7 linked regions of the Macaca fascicularis genome follow. The protein of the gene in region 5 purifies or fractionates together with the protein of the main gene of each other region. This does not show direct contact. Links are inferred from orthologs where the notes say so. Each region holds a gene or a part of one and is shown on either strand. Other genes may lie near its edges.

Region 1 (3,500 bases), on a different chromosome or scaffold from region 5:
TCAGAGAGGCTGAGATGTCCTTTCATTCTGTGTCATCAGAAGATAATTTGCCAACGATTGAATGCCAGAATGTTTGTGCTTCAATTTTTCTTTACAAGCACTGCCTAGAAATGAGTCAAAAGCACATGCTAGAAATAAAAGTTGAGCTCTCTACTCATTTAAAATTCTAAAGAATGCTGAAAAATTCCAGTTCAGAAAAGCTGCATTTTTCTTGAGTGAACTTATGAAAACAGTTTTACAACAGCAAAAACTAAAGTTATGTTCACTCTAGCCATGAATACTAACCAAAAAGCTCATGATGAATCAGTGCATGAGTTTTTAAACTCAATTTCTAGGCCCCAGCAAAAATGTCTTTGTATTTTGACCCTTGATCAAAGGAAAGGCAGAACTCACTTTTCTATGTGAGACTTTGAGTAGACCTGACCTTGAATGCTATGGATTCATTATATCTCAAGCATTTATAGTACTGACAACACGTAATCAATGTTGTCACAAGGAAAGTAGAAAACATTCGTATGGCCCATCTTCTTTATTATCTTGCTCTAGAAAACAATGTTCCTGTTCCTCAAGCTACTGAATTAGAACAATGTTTAGTACAGCAATTAAAAAAGAATAGTTCCCAACCCCAAAAGCTCTTCAGGAGAAACATCTCCTAGTTTCTTCTCTTGTTCAAGATAGTCATATATCATAATAAGCTGCAAAGAATTCAGTACAACTTGATAATGCATAAACATCATCTGAATTATTTTCTGAGTGCAGCAACCTCCATTCTTTGAAAATCCTAACTCTAAACATGATCTAACTGTTGCATGATCTAACTGTTGCATGCACTATGAGTCAGAAAGCACAGGTGGCTAAACTTTCCAAAAGATACTTTCTGTGTCCTCTGGTTACTACAGCCAACTGAGCACTAAACCACTTATAAGGCAGAGATGGTATGAAATATAAAGGACTGTAGAGAAAACAGTAAGAGAAAAAGGAAAAGCTGTTTACAATGCCCAGGCCAGGCTGGCTCTGTAGAGAGCAGGAGTGAGCACAAGGCACTAGAAACAAGCACAGCCTGGGGGATGGAGAAAAGATCATTTGATAGAGTAAATGTATAGCCCTAAAACATAGCTAAAGACATACCCTCAGATAAAGACACTGACAATATCTTCTATAAAAATGTAAAACACAAAGCAATAGTTTATAGCAATCTGTGTGCTGGTGATAAAACAAAACAAGATCCTACTCATTATTTAGGTAACAAAAGTGAACACCAGGTAGAAGGACTGCATTAGAGTGAGAACATATGGGACCCTGTTAGGTTTGCAGAATTGAGGCCATAAACCATAATCTGAGACTGCGAATTTATGAAAGGTTCATTGAAAGCAAGCAAACAGGTGGTGCATGGGAAAAGCTTAAGCAATCTGTTATTAGTTATACAATGGTAGCAATATATTTCAGAAGTGCTGGGAGATAGACAAGATGGATACTTTGCCAACAAGGCAGTGTGTGGCAGAAAATACAGTGTAATAGATGAGGAAAATTTCAAGGCCACTCCTGTCTCTAGTTAGAGAGAGAACTACTCTCCAAACCAAAACAGGAAAGAGTTTCTGATAAATTCCTAAAAACAAAAACGAAGTAACAACAAACAACAACAACAACAACAAAAAAAAAGGGAATAAAGGAATTTCAAACCAGGAAATAAAGGCTTTCTATTTTTTTTTTTTAAATCTATCTGAGATACACTCCCTAAATCTATGGCAAGTAATAAAAAGCTTACAGGGTATTTTCCAAAAGAAATGATAAAGCATGATATCATACAGGTTAAAATAGACTTACAACAAGTAAATTCAGCGTTTTGAAGACTAAATAGAATGCATGCACATCTCTTAAAATATACTAGAATTTTTTTCTCCTTTTTGCTGTGTGTATAAAACTTCACCTTTTACTGCTAGCAAATTTACTGCTTTTGGCCAGAAAAGAAATGCTGAGGACATGGGGTTAACTTTCTAGGGTTAACTGTCTAATTTGAGAAGACCATTTTGGTGGATCACCTTCAGTGAACAAATGCCTGTTATTTATCGATCACCTTGAGTCTTTAAAACTGAATCGTTCTTGCCGTTTACAAAAAGTAACACTTTAAGAGATCACAGAATCTCTCTCTCACACACACACACACACACACACACACGCACACATACTCAAAAGTACCAAATCAGGCCCGGCAGCTGCAGAGAGATTACATCATAACTCAGCTGTGCCTGGATTACCCACTCCACACTGGCAGCATTCAAGGTTAGAAAAATGAAATGGCAGCACAATTGGTCAGCAGCTTCTCTTCTTCTGGAATTTTTCCAGGTTCTTGAAACAAACAGACAAACAAACAAACAAACGAACATAAAGCTGCAATCACTCTTGCATTGATTTCAAAACAGTAAACTGGCGGTTTCCTTGGAGAAGCAGAGCCTGTCCAGAAGACGGCAGCTGGAAGGCCTCCAGACAGGCAATCCTCCACAGCTCTGCAGGGCTTGCTAAGGGGGACCCTTGAGCCACCAAGGGTGTTCTCCGCAGGATCAGCTTAAGGCAGCTGCTGAGGCCTCAGGCTGTATTCAGCTCCGAGGTGTTCTGGCTGGGCGGCAGGTGGGAATCCAGGTTTTCTTTGCACCTCTCCAGGTCCTGGAAGTATGGGTGAGACAGGGCACTGTAGGCTGATATTCTTTTGGCTGGGTTAAATGTCAAACACTTCTGTAATAAAGAAAAAAATAATTGGTTGATATACAACACATCAATGTAGATAATGTACTTACAGAGTTATCCCTTTATTCACTGTCATGTTAAGCACATCTAGAATGGGAATGAGTATTTATTTAAAGGGACACTAAATAATATGGAGACAGTACTCACATATATCCCTAATGTATAAAATGCCCCTCAGGAGAAGACCCTTTTGGGTGCCTATGGGCTGTTTCCTGCCCAGGATTTCTCTGTAAGCCATTAAAGTATGCATATAACTTTATTTAGTAATTCTTCCAGTGCTAGCAAACTTAGTGCTACAGTTGGAGTCTTCACCGCAACTTCTTACCCTGCCCCAAGGTTACACCACTCAGAGGCAGGGATATCTTCCTTCTAATTAATAACAAGGTGCCACAAGGCTAGCAGTAGCTCTCTCAGGGGACCCTTAGATTCAGTGTGAGTCACTAAACTCTGTTCCAGGCTGACAGCTCAAGTGTAGGGCTACCAAGGTGAATGAGCTGATGCTTGCACTTAAGAAGCTCCTGGTCCTAGTCAAGTGGTTTGGGCAGTTTGGCTGGGCTACTGAGGTAGAAGGTGAAAGGAGGGAAAGGGAAATATTTGCAGTAGCAGCAGTCTCTGTTCCCAAACTGTCCATACCTAAATTAGAATGTGTCCCTAATTTCAGTCTCATTTCCACCCCTACTTCAGGTAATCTTGTTACTCAAATCCTCCACCTCTCCTTCCACCAATGCCTCCTGCTGGGTGCCTAGCAGGTGGCAAGC
Region 2 (4,247 bases), on a different chromosome or scaffold from region 5:
CAGAAAATGAGTAGCTAATTTCTTTACACTGTATTTGGACAAACTAGCTTGGCAGGGGGGAAAAAAGGCGTTAATTCCTGGCTATTTTATAACAGCTTAAAAATGTCCATAATAATGGCAGCAATTTCAATTTTAATGCAAATGTCTCATTTAAATATAACGTCTGTTACAACAGATTAGAACTCCAAAAAATGAGTCACCTATGACTGACATGATGTAAAAATAATGTGAAACTCAAGAAATTAGGAGTTCAAGAATTGGTCCATTATTGACAAAACTGATGAGACTTCAAAATATTTTGTAGTAGGCATTAAACAAACTTTTTTAAACAGCAGGATACTTGTTACACACCACAAAAAAAACCCTTAAGATCTAAAAACTGAGAGGAAATATATATTCCACAAATGAATGTGTAAACTCTCCACCTTCAACTACTATAAAATTTAAAAGATCAGAACAATCTTAATTATTTGAGGCTTAAAAGCAATGTCCACAAAGCATCAAGATCTACGTATCAGAAGTTTTCAAATATTTCGGTTAATTATCGAACAAACTTTTCACCTATTTACTCCTACAATAGTTTAATGCCAAAACAAAAAAGGATTAAGAAAATGACTCTTCCAAGTTTCACTTTCAAATACACTGTCCTTATAGAATTCTCCGAACTAGACTGATGTGAAAAACGAGATTTAGAATAGAAGGATTTAAATACAGTAGTTTGCCATCCTTAGAACTAGCGGCTGTCTTCGAAATGACCTACCTATTCTTGAACTGTACATAGTACAGAAATGGCGGCTTTGTGGTCAATGCCAAGCACATTTAGTCCCCCAAACCAAGCCGCTTCCAAAACATTCTTTCCACTAACAGCAGCGTCCCACACTTAAGATATACAATCAGACAGCAAACAAGTCAAAGAGGGAGAGGTGTAACCACGAACGCTCATTCCCGTTGGGCTCTTCAATCCTAAAATCCACTCACTGGATAACATACACTAGGGATTATCCAGCTTAATGGATAATGTTGTGACTCTACAAGTGACCCCCAATGCCAGTTCCTATCCAAAACCCAGGAAATCATAACCGTTGCTTAATAACTTCACACTAGGTGAAAAAAAAAAACAAGTCGCTACAAGGCGAAAGACTGACTGCTCCTTAGGTGTGTGGGCAACCGCCTGCTTCATTCAGGAGAAACACACCTCACTAGGGCCCGCCCTCCCCTGGCTTCCCACCCGAACCGATTTGCAGCCCTTCTAACTATAGCACACGGGAGCACGCACTCACCCCGCCCATACTCGGAGGAGGCATTTAGACCAGGCGCCTTAAGTTCAACGCCCCTTTCTCTATGCAGCATGGCCTCGGCGTGATCAGAGGAGGTCCGGGCTGAGCCAGTAATGAATGCTTCCTCTACTACACCACTTCCTCCCACCCAACCCAAACTCAGACATCGGAATGAAGGAGAATCAGGGCATCCTCCACTGTACGAGGCCAGCAGTAAATGGTTTAACCAACTTATCACACACAAACCCCTGAAAAGGAACTACAAGACGGAATCCCATGTGCAGGCCCCTGAAAAATTCATCTTTCCTACTTCACATGCCACTCTGCAAAAAACCGGAGAGCTTTCGAGTTTCCTTGCTGGAGGAACAGGGAGTCGGCAGCCCCTCCCTCCCCCATCCCAAGCTCTCCACCGAGGGGGCCACGTGATGCAGGCGGACGTTTCAATGCTGCTGCACTAAATATTTCTGGAAACTTCCACTCCTAATAATTTACAGAGATGTTCCTGAAATCACCCCAACTTCTCCCCAGCCCGTGGGGCTGGGGAAGCCCTTCCACCCCGCGCGGGGCCCCGTTTCACTATCACGCTCCTCGCCTTCCTCCACCGCCACCCGCACACGCGAATGACCCAGCAAGCGCTCCCCTCCCGCGGCCGCCTCCCCGCCTCCATCCCCCAGCGGCAAAAGCGGCTCCATTCAATCGCAGGCTCCGCTGTGGGCCCGGCGCGCCCCCGGCCCGCCCGCCGCCTCCTGGGCTCGCTTCCCGCGACCGCCGCGCCCCACGCTGGCCTCCTCCCGCCCGGCCGCGCCGCCGCCCGACCCTCGGCCCCAAAGACACAGTCGACTTACCCAGAGATTGAACCAACTGCTCCTTCCTTCCTTGTCGGGGGATTAGGGCCAGGGAAGGTGGGGAGGGGGAGAGGGGACGAATCAAGGTGGGTTTCACAGTTTTCCCACCTTAAAAAAAGAAATTAAAAAAACGGAGAGGAAAAGGGCAAAAAGAGCTCAATAATATTTACTATTTCAGGGACGCTTCCCCCCAACACACACACCCACCCGCCCCCCAAAAAAGAAGGGGAATTAATCTGGGGAATAAATGCTCCCGCCCGGCTGGGGAGTGAGGGAAGGGGGAGGGAACCGGGTCAAGTCCCAAAGATTCAGCCCCAGGGGGACCCTCCAGCCACAGGCAGCAGCAGAAGCGGCAGGAGTAGGGGGTGTAGAGTCCACACGGCCGGGGGGACGCTCTGCTGCCAGTTGCAGTCCGACTCCCCCCTACCAAAACACGGCTCCCTCTCTCACGCGGCTCCGGCGCTGGGCCCCCCCCAGGCTCGCCTAAACTTTCCCCCCTTCTCTTGCTCCTCAGCGACTGGTGGTTCCCCCCTCCCCCTCTGGGTGGTTGCACGGACTGCAGCAGCAAAGACTGGAACAGGCACCGCCGCCGGGGCTGTAGCTACTGTTGCTCTTGCTGATGCTGTAGCTCCCGCTGCTCCTGCCGCGGCCGCTGCAGCCGCTTCTCCCCCTCCTCCTAGTGCCTCAAACTCGGAACCGGTTGAAACCGGTTCAGACTGGGAGATTCCATCTCGGTTGAGTTTTCAGCCCATGGCGCCGCGGAGCGTTTGGAACCTGGGCCTCCGCCCCCAGCCCGCCCTCCTATTGGTCAGTTCCAGCTACAGCCGCGCCATGAGCCTATCTCTCATTGGCCTGAGCGCCAGTCAATCCCACCTCAAGGCTCCACACGAGCCCGCCGCTTCGGCCCCCGCCTCTTTTCAGCAGCGATTTGCCCGCAGAGTGGGGGAGGGGAAGTGGGGAGGGTCGAAAGGCAAGAGGAGAGGGGTGGAGGAGGAGGAGGTGGGACGAAGAGCAGGGCTAAGTAGAAAAGAGAGCGAAGGAAAGCCGCGTGGAGGATTCGTTCGAACGAGCTGTCAATCAAGTGCAGCCCGCCCTCGAGCTCTCGACTTCCCTTCCCCCTGCGGCCCTCACCCTCCCAGTGCCTAGTTCGCAGGCCCGGCCTTTCCCGCCCGCTCATTGGCTGGGCGCCTTCGGTGACGGAGAGGGTGGGGCGCAGCTCGTGAGCTAGTGGCGGCGCGAGTTTGATCGCGGCGCGCGGCGGTGTTCGATCTGCTTCCCGGACTCGGCCGGCCCGCCCCCACCGGCTCCCGCCAACCTGCGGGGGCCTGAGCCCGCGGGAATTAGGATCCGCCCCTCAGATGGGGGATGCGTTCGGAAAAGGGATGGCACACCCAGTTGTTTTGAACTCTCGGAGGGGTGGAGAAAGGAGGGAAAGGAACACTTCCGAGGCCAATTGTAGGCCCCAGACCTCTAATCCATTTTAGAGGCCTGGGTTGGGCCAGGTAGCTGAGAGAGAGGTTGGGGTGAGGCGCAGGGCGTGCATTCTTGGCGCCTCGTGATCTTCTCAGGGTCTCGGAAAATATATCGAAATACTTCTTGGGAAAGTCTTAAAATTTCAACTCTGCCTCCCCAGGCTGGAATTTGGCCGCTTCGACAACCAACCTTTCCTGAAAGCCAAAACATTGTAATCCCAGGTTATTGGTTTGACAGCGCATGTTTTGGCTGGGTGAGCTTGCATGCCAACTGCGTCCCACCTGGTGCCCTTGATCTGCAACACTCAGATTTTCCTTTCACCCTAGCGGCACTTCACATACTAAATCATCACCAAATAGTATTTTCTGTGAAAGTCACATGCACGTTGTCTTTCACGTGGTTGCGTCTCTTGTTTGTTCCCAAGCGTCCTCCAAATCAGCTTTACAGATTGTTCTTTGCTTAAGAGCAAATAGCCCACCAAAATTTACTAGGCCCTTTGTGCCACCAAGAGGTAGATAAATGGTTTATTGAAGTAATACAATTTTCTTTAGCAAATGTTCGTTCACGATGGACTATGACTAACTTCAAAGCACCACTTATTCTAACTCCCCCTCCAATAAAGAAAAACCCAACAACTCAATGTTTAGATGCA
Region 3 (4,001 bases), on a different chromosome or scaffold from region 5:
GTCTGTACCACCACGCCCAGCTAATTTTTGTATTTTTAATAGAGATGGGTTTTTACCATGTTGGCCAGGCTAATCTTGAACTCCTAACCTCAAGTGATTCATCCGCCTCGGCCTCCCAAAGTGCTGGGATTACAGGTGTGAGCCACTGCGCCCGGCCGTTTTTCTGACTTTTTAATGATGGCCATTTTTGCAGGAGTAACGTGGTATCTCCCTGTGGTATTAACTTGCATTTCTTTGATGATCAGTGATGTTGAGCATTTTTTCATGTATTTGTTGGCCATTTGAATATCTCTTTTGAGAAATATTTATTCATGTCCTTTGCCCATTTTTTGATGGCATTATTTTTTTTTCTTGCTGATTTGAGTTCCTTGTAGATTGTGGATACTTGTCTTTTTTCCGATGCATAGTTTGCAAATATTTTCTCTTATTCTGTGGTTGTCTGTTTCTTTCTTTTGCGGTGCAGAAGCTTTTTAGTTTAATTAGGTCCCATTGATGTATTTTTGTTTTTGCTGCATTTGCTTTTGGGGTCTTAGTCATGAATTCTCTGCTTGGGCTGATTGTTAGACGAATATTTATTGAGCACCAACCATATATGACAAACGATGTACTAGGCGCTGGGAATACAATGGAGAACTTACATGAATCACCAATCACACAAATCTCTTTTTATCTTTTTTTTTTTTTTTTTGCCTTACTTGAGAATTTGGGTTTTTGAGTAAACGCCATTATTCCCTTTTTTTGTTTTAGCACACTTTTATGTCTCAACCACCTAACGCACTGCTGCCCTGAGCAACCCGGAGGGGCCGGTTCCTGCACTCCGGCCAACACAACCTAAACCCCAACACGCCGAGGACGAATAAAGGCCAACCAACTTCCGCCCACCCAGTACAAACGTTGACAGACATTTGTAGATGAGGCCTTGTCAAAATTCAGAGGTATCCTACGTCTGCTTTCCCAATGAGACAGTTCCTTTTTGTTTGTCTCAGAGACTGGGATTTTTTTTTTTTTTTTTTAAAGACTGTAGGCAAAAAAAACACCCCAACCGGCTGTTGGGACAATCAAACGGGTCTAAGAAAATTCAGCCAATGAGAGTGCGAGAGTGCCTCTGTGTTGGCCAATGAGAAGAGCGCGCCGTGCGCAGGGCCGCCCAATGGGGCGCAAGCGACGCGGTATTTGAATCCTGGAACAAGGCTACAGCGTCGAAGATCCCCAGCGCTGCGGGCCCGGAGAGCAGCCCTAACGGCGCCTCGTACGCTAGTGCCCTCCCTTTTCAGTCCGTGTCCCTCCCTGGGCCGGGCTGGCACTCTTGCTTTCCCCGTCCCTCATGGCGCTGCTCCGACGCCCGACGGTGAGTGTGTTCGGCGACCGCTGTCGGAGGCGAGTCCGTTGGCCCCACAGCTCCCCTGTCGCTTCTCTCATTTGCTCCGAGCTTCTCCGTCCCAACTTAGACTGCTTTTCTCTTCTCCGGAGCTCCCCGCTTCGCCCACGTCCCTGGCCCTGCGGCGGGTCGTCTCCTGCCGGCCTCTCCCCGTCTGGATTCCGCTCTCCCTGTGCCCCTCCCTGCTCCGGGGTGGGAGAAGTGTAGGAAAGCGCTTCCGAGATGGCACCTGTCAAGCGAGCCCCCAGAGCACTGGGCCTAGTACTCAGCGAGCGATCCCCAAGTGCTCTTCATTGCCAGAGAGTTATCTCCTTACACGTTCCTGGGATTTCCCTCCCCCTTTCTTAACAACTCCTTGCCAACTAAGGGATCTGTGGTGGGGGCTGGGAGGAGGACTGGAAGGGTTCTGTAGGCAGTAAAGTGTGCGTGTTTCATCAGGCAACTGCCAGGCTGTTTTTCTGATTGTTCACATTTCTTTTTGTATGACTTTCCCATTTATTGCTGCACGCTAAGTCTTCCAGGCTACGTTCACTAATACATGGGTTTGTCCCCTTAAAAAATTTATTTACTCAAATGTAATAGAGATTTTTGAATATAGTTTGGACCAACGTGGCAGACTGAGAGAAAAGGGTCCAAATTCATTTATTTCATCCTTGCAGAGATCAAAGTGTTACGATGTTTTGGGTATTTTTCCTGTGGGCTTGAATTGTGCCGGGACCTACTTTTTTCCTTTGCTGAAAGCTAGAGGGCCCTGACACACCTGAGTTCCATCATCTTGGCTATAAGGTTAGATAAAAGCTGCCAATTTTCCTATCCAGATGAATTTAAATTTAGTCACATTAGCTGGCTTCTATCCATAAGCATTACATTTTCAAACACTTTTTTCAGATTGGTAGTTGCTGCTGGAAAAAATTGAACAGCCCGACTTTTGAGAATCCTAATAGATTGAACATATTCAGCATCTAATTAATATCCTTTTGTGGATCTAAGTCCAACTGACAAGTAATTTTTTATAATAATGTATTCTATAACGTTATTTAATAGTCAGAACCTTTCTGTTCAGGGAAGGCTTGAGTTTCCCTTGTCCCTCTATCCTGGTAGATCCACTCAGACCCCTTGTTGGGAGTTTTATTAGAGTCAGGACCCTGAACTCTGAGGGATAGGACATGCTGGTTTTTTGTTTTTTTCTTTTTTAATGAAATGTTTATCTCTTCTATAATAAGCTTTTTTTGGTATGAATTGCTTTTCCTAGCAAGTTTTATTTCTAAGCACATTATGTCTAAAGCAGGTTAAAGTCAACTGACAATTTTTATTTCATACAATTCCCACCTTCCCTGAGTTTGGGAGCTAAAACTGTATTATCCAAGGAAACTATTTCCATTCTAAATATCCTTAATATAAGAGAAAATCCATTCTATGGCAGCCTCATTTTAAAAAGCTGCACTTCTAAAAGATCATGCATACAGGAGCATTTCTTATTTGTAAAATGGCATAAGAATCAAAGCTAGTTTAGGTTTTAAACATCTGGTTTTTAAACAACCAGACCTATTATTAACTATTAATATTATAGCTTTATAATTTTTCATCTTAATTTACGTATTACCAAGCTCTGTAAAGGAAGGTTTTTAAGTATATGCCTTTAACTTGCAGGGATCTCTACCAAGTGATATGGGTACTATGATAAATAATCATTAAATAGTAATAAGCTTTGAAGTTCTCTTACAGGCCCACTTGAATATTCAGAATAGTTTTGCAAGGTTAGTGGGAGGATCTTTATTACAGATAAAGTAGATGGGTGATTTGCCTAATTTAGAGTGATGTTATTAATCACGAATAGCCTTTTTTTAGACTTCCTGAAATGTACCTTTTCCATCTTGCAAATAGATCTTGACGTATTGTCCTTTCCCAAAGCAATTCTAAATTTGAGTATCTAACATTAGCAAAGTATTTCAAATTCTTTCAAGGTTTCATTACCTTTTTTTTTTTTTTTTTTTTTTTCAGGTGTCCAGTGATTTGGAGAATATTGACACAGGATTTAATTCTAAAGTTAAGAGTCATGTGACTATTAGGCGAACTGTTTTAGAAGAAATTGGAAATAAAGTTACAACCAGAGCAGCACAAGTAGCTAAGGTAACAATGATGAAGACTGAATGTGAATACAGAGGCCGATTCTGTATAGTGCTGAGTCTCACAACACTGGCTGTCTTGCCCTATTCATGTTTCTTTTTCCTTATAGAAAGCTCAGAACACCAAAGTACCAGTTCAACCCACCAAAACAACAAATGTCAACAAACAACTGAAACCTACTGCTTCTGTCAAACCAGTACAGATGGAAATGTTGGCCCCAAAGGTAGGAAGTTCTGAATTTACAAACATATTTAATGAGGTAGCCTGTTTTTAGCCAGACTACAAGGGTGCCGTTATCATTGCTGCACCTTTTAACGAACATTCATAGCTAGAACTCTCCTTTGAAGCAACAGTGTAGGAAATGAGTATATACACCTTTTAAATGATGGTACTTAATTTAACATTATGACCTTGAAGCTGGGCATGGTGGCTTATGCCTGTAATCTCAGCACTTTGAGAGGCTGAGGCAGGAGGGTCACCTGAGGCCAGGAGTTCA
Region 4 (4,109 bases), on a different chromosome or scaffold from region 5:
CTGGGAATACAGGCATGCGCCACTGCACCCAGCCTCTATTTATAGTTCTTAAGTTACTTAAAATGGTACAGCCAGGTATTTTCCCGTTTCTCATGATGAGTTTTGGTACTAAAAAAGTTTGCAGGTAATAATTTTGTTCTGCTCTTAATGAAAAGAAAGGGAACTTTTATTAACATTCTAAATCCTGATGGGGAAGCATCTTTATATCTTTTTCTACTTATATTCCTTACATTTTTTTCCTTTTTCATCTTTTCATTTTGCTTTTCTTTAAATCGTAACTAGCTTGCTTTAATGCACCTGACCTTCCTCTAGAAACAAGGAAGCTTGTTACCTAGATCTACCGGACTGTAGCCTCTACTTGACTTGATTCATTACTCCAGATATTTTTCAGAACTCATCTATTCTACCCTTTTTTCTAATCTGTTTACCTTATTACCCTACCTCCAAAAAAAAAAAAAAAAAAAAAAAAAAAAAAGATTCCCTCTCTTTCCTAGTTAGGAGTACAGTACTATAAAGAAGTTTCTTTTTGCCAGTGTTAAGAAATGTATCAGCAAAGTAGCACTGTCTCATAACCTAAACAAATTTAAACTCAGTTTCATTATATGGACATGATAAAACATAGTTAATTTTTAACAATGTTCCCAAACTGTTATCCTGAAACTTCTCTAGTGGGACCAAGCTTCCTATTTTTCTTGGGTTTAGCAGAGAAAGTCCTGGGAAACCCCTTAGGCCCAGTCAAACTGGGTCAGTTAGCTCACCTGATTCTTTATGTAGTATTTAACTTTAGGTCAAACAAAACTCATGCCATGGGCTATGAAGTTGAATTGCCCAGAATTTACATTTGACATTTGGATTTAAGTAGTCTAGAAGCTAGATGAGTATGAATTTTTAATCCGTAAGGAAACAAAACAAACAAAAACCCAACATTGAAAAAAAAAAAAAAGACTAAGTAAAACAAAAACAAATTTGGTTGGAGATGGGAAATTTAATACAAAAATAATGATATCCTCTTTGATTAGCATGAAAACAATTAGATGTTTACATTCTAGGTTTTTAGTACTTTATAATTACCACTATTACAATATTTTAAACCTACCAAATAATTTAAAGAAAGCAGTCATATCCTGACGCTGTATAACCAGACAAGGTCCTTTGGGGCGTTTAGATTTGTTGTTATTATGTGTATTTTTTTCAAATGTTTGCCAATTATCTTTAAAAATAGGACGCTTCATAGTAATGGGCTTTTTAGGCTGATGTGATCTATTTGACCCTGATTTTACATAAACAGTAACAGTAGGTGGTGTCTCACAACACATCTGATTGTGCCTCATTTTGGTTTCCCAATATTCCTGTAAAAATAAAACATACAATTATTCATCACACACATTCATTTCATATAAAAACAACTGGATGATACTACCATATGCAGTCATATAAAATGTTACTGAACTTGTCATTAAAATGTTATTTGTGACAGTGACTCCCATTAAAAATTGCTTTTGAAATTCAGTGCTAGGAAAAGCTATGCTTCCTTTGGGTAACAGATAGACATCCTCTTCCCAAATAATAAGATACTGTATGCCATTTTGCTTTGGCTACAGAACTTGACCAAATTTGAAAGTTAATTATAGAAATGATGCTGACTTCATAATTTATTTGTGGTCTTCTTTTTTCCTGCTAATTTTTTCTATTCTGCTTGAATTGACATAATTTTATTATATGGTTGTTATATGCTACCTCAAAATTTTTATAAACAAGGAAAACTATTTCCAGAACTTATTATCAATATCAATTCAATTGTATTACAAAGCACACCCCCCCACACCTACACACACACAAAACCCCATATCTCTTTATTGGTAAATTCCTTGATATATTATAAAATTCACTTATTCAATAAGCATTTATTGGTATTTATTGAAAAGCTGAAAGCAATTCTAGCAAAATGCAGATGAGCTTTGAAGGCCTTTCAAAAATTGGTCTAATTTTTATTTTACTTACTTTTCTGTTTTCCTTTTTTTCTCGTGTATGTGTGTGTGTTTGAGACAGGGTCTTGCTCGGTCACCCAGACTGGAGTATGCTGGCATGATTACAGCTCACTGCAGCCTCGACCTCCTGGGCTCAAGTGATCCTCCCACCTTAGCCTCTATTGTAGCTGGGACCACAGGTTTATGACACCACACCTGGCAAATTTTTTAAATTTTTGTAGAGATGCGGTCTTACTATGTTGCCCAGGCTGGTCTCAAACTGCTGAGCTCAAGCCATCCTCTTGCCTCAGCCTCCCAAAGTGCGGGAATTACAGGCTTGAGCCACCATGACTGACTGGCCTGTTCTAATTTTTAAAGTTGTAAGTGTATGACAAAGCTATTTGAGTGACTGATTATAAGTGTATATGAATGTATGTTGTTATAATCTAATAAAATCTGAGACAAAGTTAATCTATCAATATTTAATAATATATGTAATCATCACCTTCTTTGGTGGTGAATAGTTCACATAATTACTACACTTAGTATTATTTTTGTGGTCAAATATTTCTAGGGTAATGGGAAATGGAGGTATGAATAGGCAACACAGGAAACTACTCTAGGACCCTACTGAGAACCTCTGAATGCAACCTCACAGTGACTCAGGCAGCCATGCCTCCCTTGGTGTTCAAGGAGTGAGGTATAGATTCCCCTTCCTGACCCTCAGAAATTTCCCTGCTGAAGGAAGGACTGGAAAATATAGTAAGGTTAGAGCAGCACTGTCCAAAATATAATGTAAGCCGCATATGTAATTTTGTATTTTTAGAGCCACCTTACAAAACAGATAAAATAACTTTTAATAATAAAGTTTATGTAACCCAATATGTCCAAAATACCATTTTAACATGTAATCAATATAAAAACCAATGAGATAGTTCACATTCTGTCTTTGAAATCTGCTGCATGTTTTCCTCTTAAAGCATATCTCAATTCTTTTTTTTGTTGTTGTTACTTTAGATGAATATGCTTACATACAAATCCCAGTTCTGATACTAATTTTTCAACAGTAAAAGTGAAATGCAGTCCTATTTTAAAAAATGAAGCAATTTGTAAGAGAAAAATATGCTCCTTCAGTTTTTAAAGTAAAAATTAAATTATTCAGTTTCAAGTGTTTAATAGCCACAAGTGGCCAGTGGCTACCACATTAGATAGTACAGGGCTACATTTTGAAGAACTAGGCAGAGAAAATTATACTTATCAAATTGCTCCTCTCATCCCATCTTTCTTCCTAGATCCTAAAGTCCTGCCAAATTGAAGGCAATTATGTACTTGGGGTGCGGGTTATAAACTCCATAGAAAGAGGAATAGGTGATAAATTGAGTCTTGAGACTTGAGTAAGAACTTTCTGCTCTTTCCTGCCCACCTCATCTGGGAGACAGCTGGAGGCTTCATCTGCAAATTTTTTTTAAAAGTAAGAGCAGCCTTAAATCCAGATAGAAGAAACTAAACAGTAGTCAGGCTTCTCAAATTCTAGTGTGGACTTATCAGTGGTATAGTACCGTGGCTAAGAATTCTGCTTCAAATTTGAGTGTTGGGGCTAGACTTGGGTGGAATGTACCAGAACACAAAATAACTGTGGCACATATTCCAGAAGATAAGTTTTACTCAATGCTAATAGCGTAACCTAAAATAGTGCTTTTATATTAAAACAACCATGGATATGTCATAAAATATAATCCAAATTTTCTATCAATCAAAAAGGTAAAATATGTCCGCAGTAGGTGTCTTTACACTATTCCCTTATGTATGTTATGTATGTGTTGGGATATTTCATATACAGTTTCAGAAAACTGAATGAGAAGAAAATGTCTGAAATACCCCAAGAGGAGCTTCATTGACATTAATAAGCAAACACTGGCAGGAAAGTTGCATAGAACAAGCTGAAGGAGAGAAGCTATCAATGCTAGTCTTGGTCAGTTTCTACCTAGGGGTATCTTTTAATTTTGCTCTTCGTTTAGATATACTAAGAGAATGAGAGTTCTGATAGAGCAAGCAAGAAGAAAAGAACAAAAATCAAATTAAAATATGAGCTGGCCGGGCGCGGTGGCTCATGCCTGTAATCCCAGCACTTTGGAAGGCCGA
Region 5 (4,275 bases):
AAAGTGGACAAACAAGATGTGGCTAAGAAAACAAGCGACACATGAAGTTCATCTGTAGCATAGGTGCATAAGAAAACTTTGCTGCTGTTTAAGGTTAGAAAGGAAGGTTGGTTTCCAGTAAAATGCATTAACTTTGGCTCAAACCAAGATGATGGGTAGTGGGCATGGGGGTGGGGAGGCAGTTGAAGATCCACTGAGCTCTTGGGGCAGCCCTGCTCATCGTCCTACTTTACCTTCCACCACGGTGCTCAAGCCCACACTGAGAGAGAAATTTCCAGTTGCAAAAGGGAGAAGAGAAACGCTGGAATACTAGCATCGGACGTTAGGACATAGATGTGGTGGTTTTAAAAATCATTTCATCATCTGGAGTTTGACCCCGAGGGGAGTCTTTTCACTCTTCAGCCCTCTGAAAGCATTCACTAGCATCTGAATATTGTTCTGAGTTTGTTGGAGCAGTGAAATCTGGTGAGAGAGAAGGGTGGAGGAAGGAAGGAGCTGTTGTATTTGGCGGCTGGAGTCAGGTAGAGGAAACTGCTACAATCCCGGGAAAGAACAGAAAAGTAGAAAGAGAGGAGTTCCCACACGCAGCCAATGTCCATGGCCTTAACTGTGCTTGGGAAACAAGATCCTGGGCCAGGGGCGTACCCTCGTTTTTCAAAACTAAATGTGTCTGAGACAGCTACAAAGTGTATTAAGGGACTTGAGAGACTACTTGAGTTTTTTTTTAATCTTGAGTTCCTTTCTTATTTTCATTGAGGGAGAGCTTGAGTTCATGATAAGTGCCGCGTCTACTCCTGGCTAATTTCTGAAAGAAAGACGTTCGCCTTGGCTTCTTTCCTAGGCCCCCAGCCTCCCCAGGGATGGCACAAACTTCTGGGTTAAGGCTGAGCCAACCATTGCCCACCGCCTCCACCCACCCCCAGCTAAGGCACGCCGGCAGGGGGGGCGCCCAGCCCCCCAGCAAACGCTCCGCGGCCTCCCCCGCAGACCGCGAGGTGGGGGCCATCGGGGAGGGCCGAGCTGGGGGCAGCTCGCCACCCCGGCTCCAAGCGAGCTGCCGGCGATCTTCGCGGTCCTCTGGTCCAGGCCCCGGCTTCCCCCGCGAGGAGCGGGAGGGAGGTCGGGGCTTAGGCGCCTTTGCGCACCCGCCAGTGCAGCGCCGGGCCCCGAACCCCAGGCCCCGCCCCAGGTTCCCGGCCGTTTGGCTAGTTTGTTTGTCTTAATTTTAATTTCTCCGAGGCCAGCCAGAGCAGGTTTGTTGGCAGCACTACCCCTCCAGCAGTCACGCGACCAGCCAATCTCCCGGCGGCGCTCGGGGAGGCGGCGCGCTCGGGAACGCGGGGAGGCGGCGGAACCGAGCCGGGGCCACCTTAAGGCCGCGCTCGCCAGCCTCGGCGGGGCGGCTCCCGGCGCCGCAACCAATGGATCTCCTCCTCTGTTTAAATAGACTCGCCGTGTCAATCATTTTCTTCTTCGTCAGCCTCCCTTCCACCGCCATATTGGGCCACTAAAAAAAGGGGGCTCGTCTTTTCGGGGTGTTTTTCTCCCCCTCCCCTGTCCCCGCTTGCTCACGGTTCCGCGACTCCGACGCCGGCAAGGTTTGGAGAGCGGCTGGGTTTGCGGGACCTGCGGGCTTGTACCCGCCCGGACTCGGACGGGCTTTGCCACCCTCTCCGCTTGCCTGGACCCCTCCCCTCCCCGCCCTCTCGCTCGCCGGTCCATTTGATCAGCGGAGATTCTCGGCGGCCGTGCCGGGGCTTCCCCGCAGCCCCTGCGCGCTCCTAGAGTTCGGGCCGTGGCTTGTCCGGATCTGTGTCTTTTGGCTCCGAGGCCAGTCGCTGGGCTTCCGAGAGGGGTTCGGGCTGCGTAGGGGCGTTTTGTTTTGTTCGGTTTTGTTTTGTTTTGTTTTTTTGAGAGTGCGAGAGAGGCGGTCGTGCAGACCCGGGAGAAAGATGTCAAACGTGCGAGTGTCTAACGGGAGCCCTAGCCTAGAGCGGATGGACGCCAGGCAGGCGGAGCACCCCAAGCCTTCGGCCTGCAGGAACCTCTTCGGCCCGGTGGACCACGAAGAGTTAACCCGGGACTTGGAGAAGCACTGCAGAGACATGGAAGAAGCGAGCCAGCGCAAGTGGAATTTCGATTTTCAGAATCACAGACCCCTAGAGGGCAAGTACGAGTGGCAAGAGGTGGAGAAGGGCAGCTTGCCTGAGTTCTACTATAGACCCCCGCGGGCCCCCAAAGGCGCCTGCAAGGTGCCGGCGCAGGAGAGCCAGGATGTCAGCGGGAGCCGCCCGGCGGCGCCTTTAATTGGGGCTCCGGCTAACCCTGAGGACACGCATTTGGTAGACCCAAAGACTGATCCGTCGGACAGCCAGACCGGGTTAGCGGAGCAGTGCGCAGGAATAAGGAAGCGACCTGCAACCGACGGTAATGACCCCTTCCCAACCGACGGTAATGACCCCTTCCCAACCACAGAAAGTCTGTGTCTGGGGCCCCGCTTTGCCTGCTGGAGGGTGCTAACCTTAGCTTGCTTTTCGGCGTATTCTGATGTAGCTTTGGGAGAGCGAACTTTATTGGTCTTAGGTGTTCAGTGCTACCTGGCCCACTGCTTGTCTGTGACTTTTAAGTCAGAAACTGGAAATGGTAAGATCCGATAATTTCCCTAACTTAAGACATGGCCGTCCCTCCCACTAGCAACCCCTAGGTATGTGACAAAGTTGGGATGTTTATCAACGGTCCGCCTCCTGGCTAGGGAGAGAGCTCTGGGGCGGAGAATGCACTTTCTTCTTTTTGAAAACAACCTCATTTTGTGTCCTTAAAGGCTACTGAGGATGACGGATCCTGGATTGTGGGTGGAGGGAGTGGGTTTTTCGTCCCGCGACTATTGGGCCAACTTCTGCCAGCCATTGTTTTTTCTAATAAAGATTGTGTGTTCTTTTTAAAAATTTCCTCTGCTCTTAGATTCTTCCACTCAAAACAAAAGAGCCAACAGAACAGAAGAAAATGTTTCAGACGGTTCCCCAAATGCCGGTTCTGTGGAGCAGACACCCAAGAAGCCTGGCCTCAGAAGACGTCAAACGTAAACAGCTAGGTGGGTTGATCACTAAAGGAGCACGTACTGAAACCCGGGGCCATCAGACCTCACGATACCTGATCTTGCTGGTTGCTGGCAGATTACAATCTTTTGGGGTTTTGTTTTGTTTATACTTTCGTGAGGTCAAAAAAGTAGCAATGGGAAGGTTGGGGATACTGTAATTCTTCTATGCCTAGAGATACTTTCTCTTGAAACAGTAGACCAGAGCAACTACTTGTAACCAAGGCCCCATCGGGTAAGAAGGTCATTTCCCTGTGAGTCCCACTAAAATATGTTGGGAACAATAGGTTCTTCGCCCATCCGAACAAGAACTGGGGTACTCCCTCAGTCCCACTTCATGAGAATTCATTTCCCAGAGGTTCAGCTTGAGTCAGTAACAGATTTTGAGCCATACATGGAAAAATGGCAAGTACATTATTAAGTTTCAATTTTAAGGGGGAATGTTTGGTAGAAATTGCTCACCTTTGGTTATGCAAGGGATTAGAGATGTCAGTGGGTGGTATGTTGTGTTCTTTGACATTGTCATAAACTGTCACTTTCCTTGTTTGCTCCTAAGTTTGGAGAGAGAAGGAACCAGTATTTGCAAAAACCAAAATGGAAAGATAAAAAACATTACTAAAGTTTCTACAGAATTTCTGGTAACACTGAAGTTGCAAAGCAGAAGTTAAATTAACTCTCGTCAGTAAGCAATCCAGGAACACGTCAGCCAGTGTATGCTAATTGTGCCGTAACAGGGTGATTTGGATATTTGTAGGGGAAATGGGTAGTAAATATCAAGACTGGTGACCGCAGGTCAGCCCAGCACAAAGGAAGTGGAGATTTTTCCATGCACAAGAATCTGATCACTGTAAATAGCTAATTTGAATAATTCAGTCCCCAAATGTACATGGATTGGCTATTCATAATGATCGAACTACATATATTAATAGTTTGTTAGCTTCTTATAGACCAAGACTGACCTCTTTATTTTCTAAAGCACACACGTAGCTTAGCATATGAGGCGATCTTAATATTGATGTTAACTTTTTAAATCCTCATTTATAAAAAATTTTAAAACAACAGGGATTACGGTGGGATTCAGGTGTGTTGTGTCTTTAAATTGTATATGTGACTTTACATATCTTATATTTTTCAGAGCTTATACAAAACGGCACTATAGAACCTCTATTTTATAGCACCAT
Region 6 (3,500 bases), on a different chromosome or scaffold from region 5:
GATTCCATGATCACTAGACACTCAGAAAAAGTCAAAACCCAATGCCTTCTTGTGCTCACAATTAAAATACAATCTTTCCTTCTAGTCAAAATAAGGAAAAAGATGACCTGATGCAAAAGGACAACATGGTATAGTCTTAAAAACTGTTCTGATAGCTTCTGAGATCTATTCTGCCATGTGCTACTCCTCCAAAAAGTCTATGGTCTTTTTCCCTTAGAATGCTTCATCTCTGTCTTAAAGACAGACTACAGAGTAAATATCCAAGAGTTGGGGGAAAAATCAGTTTGTCATCAACATAAGTAATCATTTCCTCAATAATAATTTTAGAGACTTTTTTAAAGCTATTATCCAGAGAAAGGGAATGGACCTAAATAAGAGAGAAAATTCTGGCACAAATCTATAGGGGCTTCAGGATCACTATTCCTTCAAATTAATGGTATATTTCAGAAAAGAATAGAAGAATATAATAAAGAGAAGGTACCTGGACTATAGAGGGCTTAGAGCTTCCAGGTATCCATAATCTCATTACGGTTTAGGATATAGAAATCAGGATTCCTCATCATCAGTTGATTTTGTTAATACAGAAAAAGACTTCAGAGGGCCCTGAAGCCTAGTTCTAGTTCTTCACTTTGTATAGCATAATTCAAAACCTAATCAACTATACATTCCATTCACCTTGAGTATCTGTGGCACCTAGAAAGTGGCTGGTACATAGCAGTACCCACAGATAACAGGAATTCTGGATTGAGTTTAGTTATATGTAGTAGGTTTGTCATTTTATAGAGTCACTTTCCACTTTGGGTACCATCAACTACAGTAAGTACCTCAAAGAAGACAGCTTCCTGGGGATGAACAATAAACTCTGGAGAGTACATGGAAAGCATATTTACAGCTAAATATTTTCCATCATACAGAGACAAAGGAAATTTGTATTGGTGTAACATACCTCTAAAAGCCAGTCTAGAAGTATGGACCTCATCTGTGGTTCCAAGTCAGAATGCAGAACTTCAAGATGTTTTTCATGAACATATCTGCTCTCCTTTTTTAACATGTTTAGCCAGACTTCTTTTGAACATCCCCAGCTATGGAAAGAGAGGGAAAAAAACATAAATTTTTTTTTTTTTGAGACAGAGTCTCACTCTGTGGCCCAGGCTAGAGTGCAGCGGCACAATCTTGGCTCACTGTAATCTCCACCTCCCGGGTTCGAGTGATTGTTGTGCCTCAGCCTCCCAAGTATCTGGGAGTTATAGGTGCCTGCCACCAAGCCTGGCTAGTTTTTGTATTTTTAGTAGAGATGGGGTTTCACCATGTTGGCTGGGCTGGTCTCAAACTCCTGACCTCAAGTGATCCACCTGCCTCAGCCACTCAAAAGTGCTGGGATTACAGGTGTGACCCACCATGCCCAGCTAAAAACCATAATTTAAATTGTGCAATCCATGTAATATACAAATTCTGTTTCACATAGATAAAATTCAACTTTCAGACACTGAAATGCAACTTTTTTTTTTTTTTGGAGACGGAGTCTTGCTCTGTTGCCCAGGCTGGAGTGCAGTGGCTGGATCTCAGCTCACTGCAAGCTCCGCCTCCCGGGCTTACGCCATTCTCCTGCCTCAGCCTCCCGAATAGCTGGGACTACAGGCGCCTGCCACCTCACCCGGCTAGCTTTTTGTATTTTTTTTTAGTAGAGACGGGGTTTCAACGTATTAGCCAGGATGGTCTCGATCTCCTGACCTTGTGATCTGCCTCCCAAAGTGCTGGGATTACAGGCTTGAGCCACCGTGCCCGGCCTGAAATGCAACTTTTAATTAGAACTTGGAAGAAGCTCTTAGAGTAAATTAGAAAAAAACCTTCTACCTTAATTTTTGGAAACCATTTCCTTTGCATGAATAAATAGAAGCCTGAAATAACAGTGGGAACCTGGACTATGATCATCCAAACTTGCAAAGGGAGTGCTTTCTAGTCCCACTTATTTATATTTTTTTTTTTTTTTTTTTTTTTGAGACGGAGTCTCGCTCTGCCGCCCAGGCTGGAGTGCAGTGGCCGGATCTCAGCTCACTGCAAGCTCCGCCTCCCGGGTTCACGCCATTCTCCTGCCTCAGCCTCCCGAGTAGTTGGGACTACAGGCGCCTGCCACCGCGCCCGGCTAGTTTTTTGTATTTTTTAGTAGAGACGGGGTTTCACCGTGTTAGCCAGGATGGTCTCGATCTCCTGGCCTCGTGATCCGCCCGTCTCGGCCTCCCAAAGTGCTGGGATTACAGGCTTGAGTCACCGCGCCCGGCCCCACTTATTTATACTTTACAAAGGTTGCTGATAAAAGATAACCATGTTGCTTTTCCCCTAAGTGGTCTGAGGTAATCTGTGAAAATGGTTGGCTATTCACTTGACCTGGAAAACCCCAAAAAATCATGCAACTTAAGAGGTTCAAATCTTTGTGTTCACTGTAAGAACACTCGTGAAACTGCCCAGGCTATCAAGGGTATGCATATATGAAAAACCACGAAGTGGCCAGGCATGGTGGCTCACACCTGTAATCCCTGCACTTTGGGAGGCCGAGGTGGGTGGATCACCTAAGGTCAAGAGTTTGAGACCAGCCTGGCCAACATGGTGAAACGCCATCTCTACTAAAAACACAAAAAATTAGCTGGGTGTGGTGGCATGCCTGTAATCCCAGCTACTCAGGAGGCTGAGGCAGGAGAATCACTTGAACCTGGGAGGTGGAGGTAGCGAGATCACACCATTGCAGTCCAGCCTGGGCAACAACAGCAAAGCTCCGTCTCCAAAAAAAAAAAAGAAACACCATGAAGTATTTTTAAAATGTCACTTTACAGAAACAGCATGTACCATTCTGACATTACAATGGTGGAGTTGGTAGGTGTGCTGAGGCCAAGCAGTGGGACTGGACACAAGGTTGGTGGTCCAAAGAGTGCTGAATGTTTGCCGCACATGCTTAAAAATGCAGAGAGTAATGCTGAACTTAAGAGTTTAGATGTAGAGTCTCCGGTCATTGAGCATCTCCAAGTGAACAAAGTACCTACGATTTGCCAGCGGACCTACAGAGCTCATGGATTAACTCATACATGATCTCTCCCTGCCGCATCGAAATGATCTTTAGTGAAAAGGAACAAATTGTTCTTACACCAGAAGAGGAGGTTGCCCAGAAGAAAAAGATATCCCAGAAGAAACAAAAACTTACGGCACAGAAGTAAATTCAGCGTTAAAATAAATGCAATTAAAAGTGAAAAAGAAAAGTTTTCTCAAGAGCAATACAAAAATTTAAATACGTAAAGCATGTGATCACAGTCAAGAAGTCTCAATCACCTCTAAATAGATCATCTATAGCAGGATCACCTATGGGGTGGGTAAGGTGGGACAGAGTCCAGGGAAAGGGGGATTGGTGAGTTTAAGTGTCTGATTCCATTAAATTCCTTATTAAGGCCAATCATAATACACTACATGTTTTGTATAAGCTGTACCTTTAGTATACTCATGGACTAGAAAAA
Region 7 (2,160 bases), on a different chromosome or scaffold from region 5:
CTGAACCAAGCCTAACTAGTACACAAAACTCACACTTGAACATGTACCAGCTACCTCACTTAGCTGCCCACCTGTGTTGAGCAACCCTTCCAACATCCACTTCCAAAAGCAAAGTGCATGTCTTCAAGATAAAAGGCCGTATTTATTGTAATATTTATGTATTTCTCAACCATTTGACATGTAAAAACCAAGCTATCCTTTTTTTAACATGTGTCACTCATTTGAGTGTTGTGCTTCAAGCCCCATTTTTCCCATGAGACCTGTGGTTTTTATTGTGCAAATTGCATGGCATAGTGATTTTCAGGAACACATAGGTCACATTATAAAGAGAACTGATTATATTTGGGTCAGAGACCATATAGCCCGCAAAGCCTAACTATCCAGCCCTTTACAGAAAAGGCTCAATGATCCCTGCTTTAGACCACTGGCTTCCGCCTCCTTACCTCATACAGTCCAGAAATAGACTTAACCCACACACCAATCCAAGAAGCCAAAGCCAGTTTTATTTCACAATCTTTATTACAGTAGGATGATGGTCCTGGGCCACCAGCCTAAACCTTGTGGCCTTAGGAAAGACCTGTGTCAACAGGGCTTCCTCCCTCTCTAGACAGGGGCTCAGCCACCTCCAGGGCATCCCTGTTGCATTTTCTCTGCTGGAGGATGGGGCAGAGGGACAACAGGAGAGGAGGGCATGACCCCACCCCAGGCTGTAGCAGCTCCTCGGCCACAATGATCCTTTTGCCAGTAGCAGAAGGGAGGAAAATAGCAACCACCAGGGTTACCACCACTTGTGGGATGGCCAGGACCCCGTTATGTCCTCTTACAGTTGTGCTCAAAGCAATTAATAAATTAAAATGAGCCTTCAGCAGCAAAGCTGTCAATCACACAGAAGCTGAGCAGAAAACAAAGCAAAGAGGAATTTATAGCTTCTCTGGCTGAGGCCTAGGCCCCTCCCTCTAGGAGCAGCTGTCAGCACGGATTATATAGGGGCCTCCAAAGTACTGAGGAGTCATCTAGACTATTCCCCCTCATATGTGTCTATCATGCATGAAATTTCAGAGGGACCCCAATCCAAATGCAATAACCCTAGAAGGGGCAACACCTTTAGAAGGCACTAGAGCATTTTGGCAGTTGAAAACAGCCCCCAGGGGTGGGGGGCGCTCAAAAGGAATGCTGGCGTTATGTATCCAATTCTGTCCCATCAGCCTGCCCCACCCCCAGCTAGAGTTGGGAAAGGCGCTGCTGGTCAGATGCAGGGAGGAGGAGCTTGACTACCCACCGAAATGCAGACGTGGCTGGCCAGGCCCCTTAGTGCACACTGCGGGGATGGGTAGGACCAGACCCCTTGGGCTTTGTGAAGGGGGAACAGACGCCCCTTCAGGCTTCAGATGTGGTGTGGTTTGTTCCTGGAGGCAGGGAGGTGGGTGGCAGCGGCCCCTCCTCTGCTTAGTGGCCACTCCAGAGGGCCTCTCCAGGGCTACAGGTGTATGGCTGTGACATCTGTAGGAGTGCTGGTCTGGCTGGGCCCTTGGCTGCTGGAGCCCCGGGGGGCTTTGGGCGCTGGGCTGGAGCTGGTCTGGGCGGCTTCCCTGAGGCTCTCCCTGAGTGCAGCTTCGATCTGCTCCTGACAGGCCCGCAGGCAGTCCTGGGAACATGGGAGAACAGTGAGGACTGAACACTCCCCCCCATAGCATCTGGCAGCAGGTGCAGGGGAAGGACAGCTCCCAACACATGGGGAAGTCTGGGGAGGTTAGGCCACAGCCCAGCCCCAGGAATCGCTCTTCAGTTCTCAGAAACTAGCAAGAGGATGTGGCAAGGGAGTGTGAGAGCAGCCCTGCATCTGACACCGAATCCCCCACCCCCACTCCAGCACACCACTTGGCAAGAAAAGAGCCCCTAGGGCCAGTGCCCTTCACCCCACCCAAGATACTTGCTCTTCTCCAGACCAAGGCAGGAGATAAAAAGCCACAAAGCCCCAAGGTTGTGAAACCAGGACTCAGGACCAGGTTGGGGTTGGAGGTTTCCCTCTACTGGAGGCTCAGGGCATAGCACTATATGAATGGAGAGGCTGCTGCCCAGCTGCCCAGCACTCACCACTTCAGTGCCAGTGATCCCTGCCAGCAGCTCTGTAAGCTCATCCCCGGACATGGAGCAGGCACC

The links.
Region 1: the proteins of CDKN1B (region 5) and CDK6 purify together in Homo sapiens (affinity purification with western blotting; 8 studies listed by BioGRID and IntAct, counting the BioPlex papers as one, with this or other methods). This does not show direct contact. The link is inferred for Macaca fascicularis from reciprocal best matches to the Homo sapiens genes CDKN1B and CDK6.
Region 2: the proteins of CDKN1B (region 5) and XPO1 purify together in Homo sapiens (affinity purification with western blotting; 4 studies listed by BioGRID). This does not show direct contact. The link is inferred for Macaca fascicularis from reciprocal best matches to the Homo sapiens genes CDKN1B and XPO1.
Region 3: the proteins of CDKN1B (region 5) and CCNB2 purify together in Homo sapiens (affinity purification with mass spectrometry; 3 studies listed by BioGRID and IntAct, with this or other methods). This does not show direct contact. The link is inferred for Macaca fascicularis from reciprocal best matches to the Homo sapiens genes CDKN1B and CCNB2.
Region 4: the proteins of CDKN1B (region 5) and SPDYA purify together in Homo sapiens (affinity purification with western blotting; 3 studies listed by BioGRID). This does not show direct contact. The link is inferred for Macaca fascicularis from reciprocal best matches to the Homo sapiens genes CDKN1B and SPDYA.
Region 6: the proteins of CDKN1B (region 5) and CCNE2 purify together in Homo sapiens (co-immunoprecipitation; 5 studies listed by BioGRID and IntAct, with this or other methods). This does not show direct contact. The link is inferred for Macaca fascicularis from reciprocal best matches to the Homo sapiens genes CDKN1B and CCNE2.
Region 7: the proteins of CDKN1B (region 5) and CCND3 purify together in Homo sapiens (affinity purification with western blotting; 9 studies listed by BioGRID and IntAct, counting the BioPlex papers as one, with this or other methods). This does not show direct contact. The link is inferred for Macaca fascicularis from reciprocal best matches to the Homo sapiens genes CDKN1B and CCND3.

Annotation. Positions count from the first base shown.
Region 1 is NC_088377.1:128,738,348-128,741,847, reverse strand, and holds part of CDK6 (cyclin-dependent kinase 6), read right to left. Parts: intron 2,731-3,500; coding exon 2,584-2,730; 3' UTR 1-2,583. UniProt on the Homo sapiens protein: Serine/threonine-protein kinase involved in the control of the cell cycle and differentiation; promotes G1/S transition. Phosphorylates pRB/RB1 and NPM1.
Region 2 is NC_088387.1:60,385,458-60,389,704, reverse strand, and holds the start of XPO1 (exportin-1), read right to left. Parts: upstream 2,801-4,247; 5' UTR 2,123-2,800; intron 1-2,122. UniProt on the Homo sapiens protein: Mediates the nuclear export of cellular proteins (cargos) bearing a leucine-rich nuclear export signal (NES) and of RNAs.
Region 3 is NC_088381.1:35,579,157-35,583,157, forward strand, and holds the start of CCNB2 (G2/mitotic-specific cyclin-B2), read left to right. Parts: upstream 1-1,201; 5' UTR 1,202-1,324; coding exon 1,325-1,348; intron 1,349-3,379; coding exon 3,380-3,508; intron 3,509-3,614; coding exon 3,615-3,728; intron 3,729-4,001. UniProt on the Homo sapiens protein: Essential for the control of the cell cycle at the G2/M (mitosis) transition.
Region 4 is NC_088387.1:93,404,336-93,408,444, forward strand, and holds the start of SPDYA (speedy protein A), read right to left. Parts: upstream 2,801-4,109; 5' UTR 1,332-2,800; coding exon 1,097-1,331; intron 1-1,096. UniProt on the Homo sapiens protein: Regulates the G1/S phase transition of the cell cycle by binding and activating CDK1 and CDK2.
Region 5 is NC_088385.1:15,479,739-15,484,013, forward strand, and holds the start of CDKN1B (cyclin-dependent kinase inhibitor 1B), read left to right. Parts: upstream 1-1,475; 5' UTR 1,476-1,952; coding exon 1,953-2,451; intron 2,452-2,961; coding exon 2,962-3,083; 3' UTR 3,084-3,091; intron 3,092-4,275. UniProt on the Homo sapiens protein: Important regulator of cell cycle progression. Inhibits the kinase activity of CDK2 bound to cyclin A, but has little inhibitory activity on CDK2 bound to SPDYA. Involved in G1 arrest. Potent inhibitor of cyclin E- and cyclin A-CDK2 complexes.
Region 6 is NC_088382.1:104,539,987-104,543,486, forward strand, and holds part of CCNE2 (G1/S-specific cyclin-E2), read right to left. Parts: intron 1,083-3,500; coding exon 947-1,082; intron 1-946. UniProt on the Homo sapiens protein: Essential for the control of the cell cycle at the late G1 and early S phase.
Region 7 is NC_088378.1:129,633,430-129,635,589, reverse strand, and holds the end of CCND3 (G1/S-specific cyclin-D3), read right to left. Parts: coding exon 2,095-2,160; intron 1,646-2,094; coding exon 1,478-1,645; coding exon of another isoform or gene 1,272-1,477; 3' UTR 501-1,271; downstream 1-500. UniProt on the Homo sapiens protein: Regulatory component of the cyclin D3-CDK4 (DC) complex that phosphorylates and inhibits members of the retinoblastoma (RB) protein family including RB1 and regulates the cell-cycle during G(1)/S transition.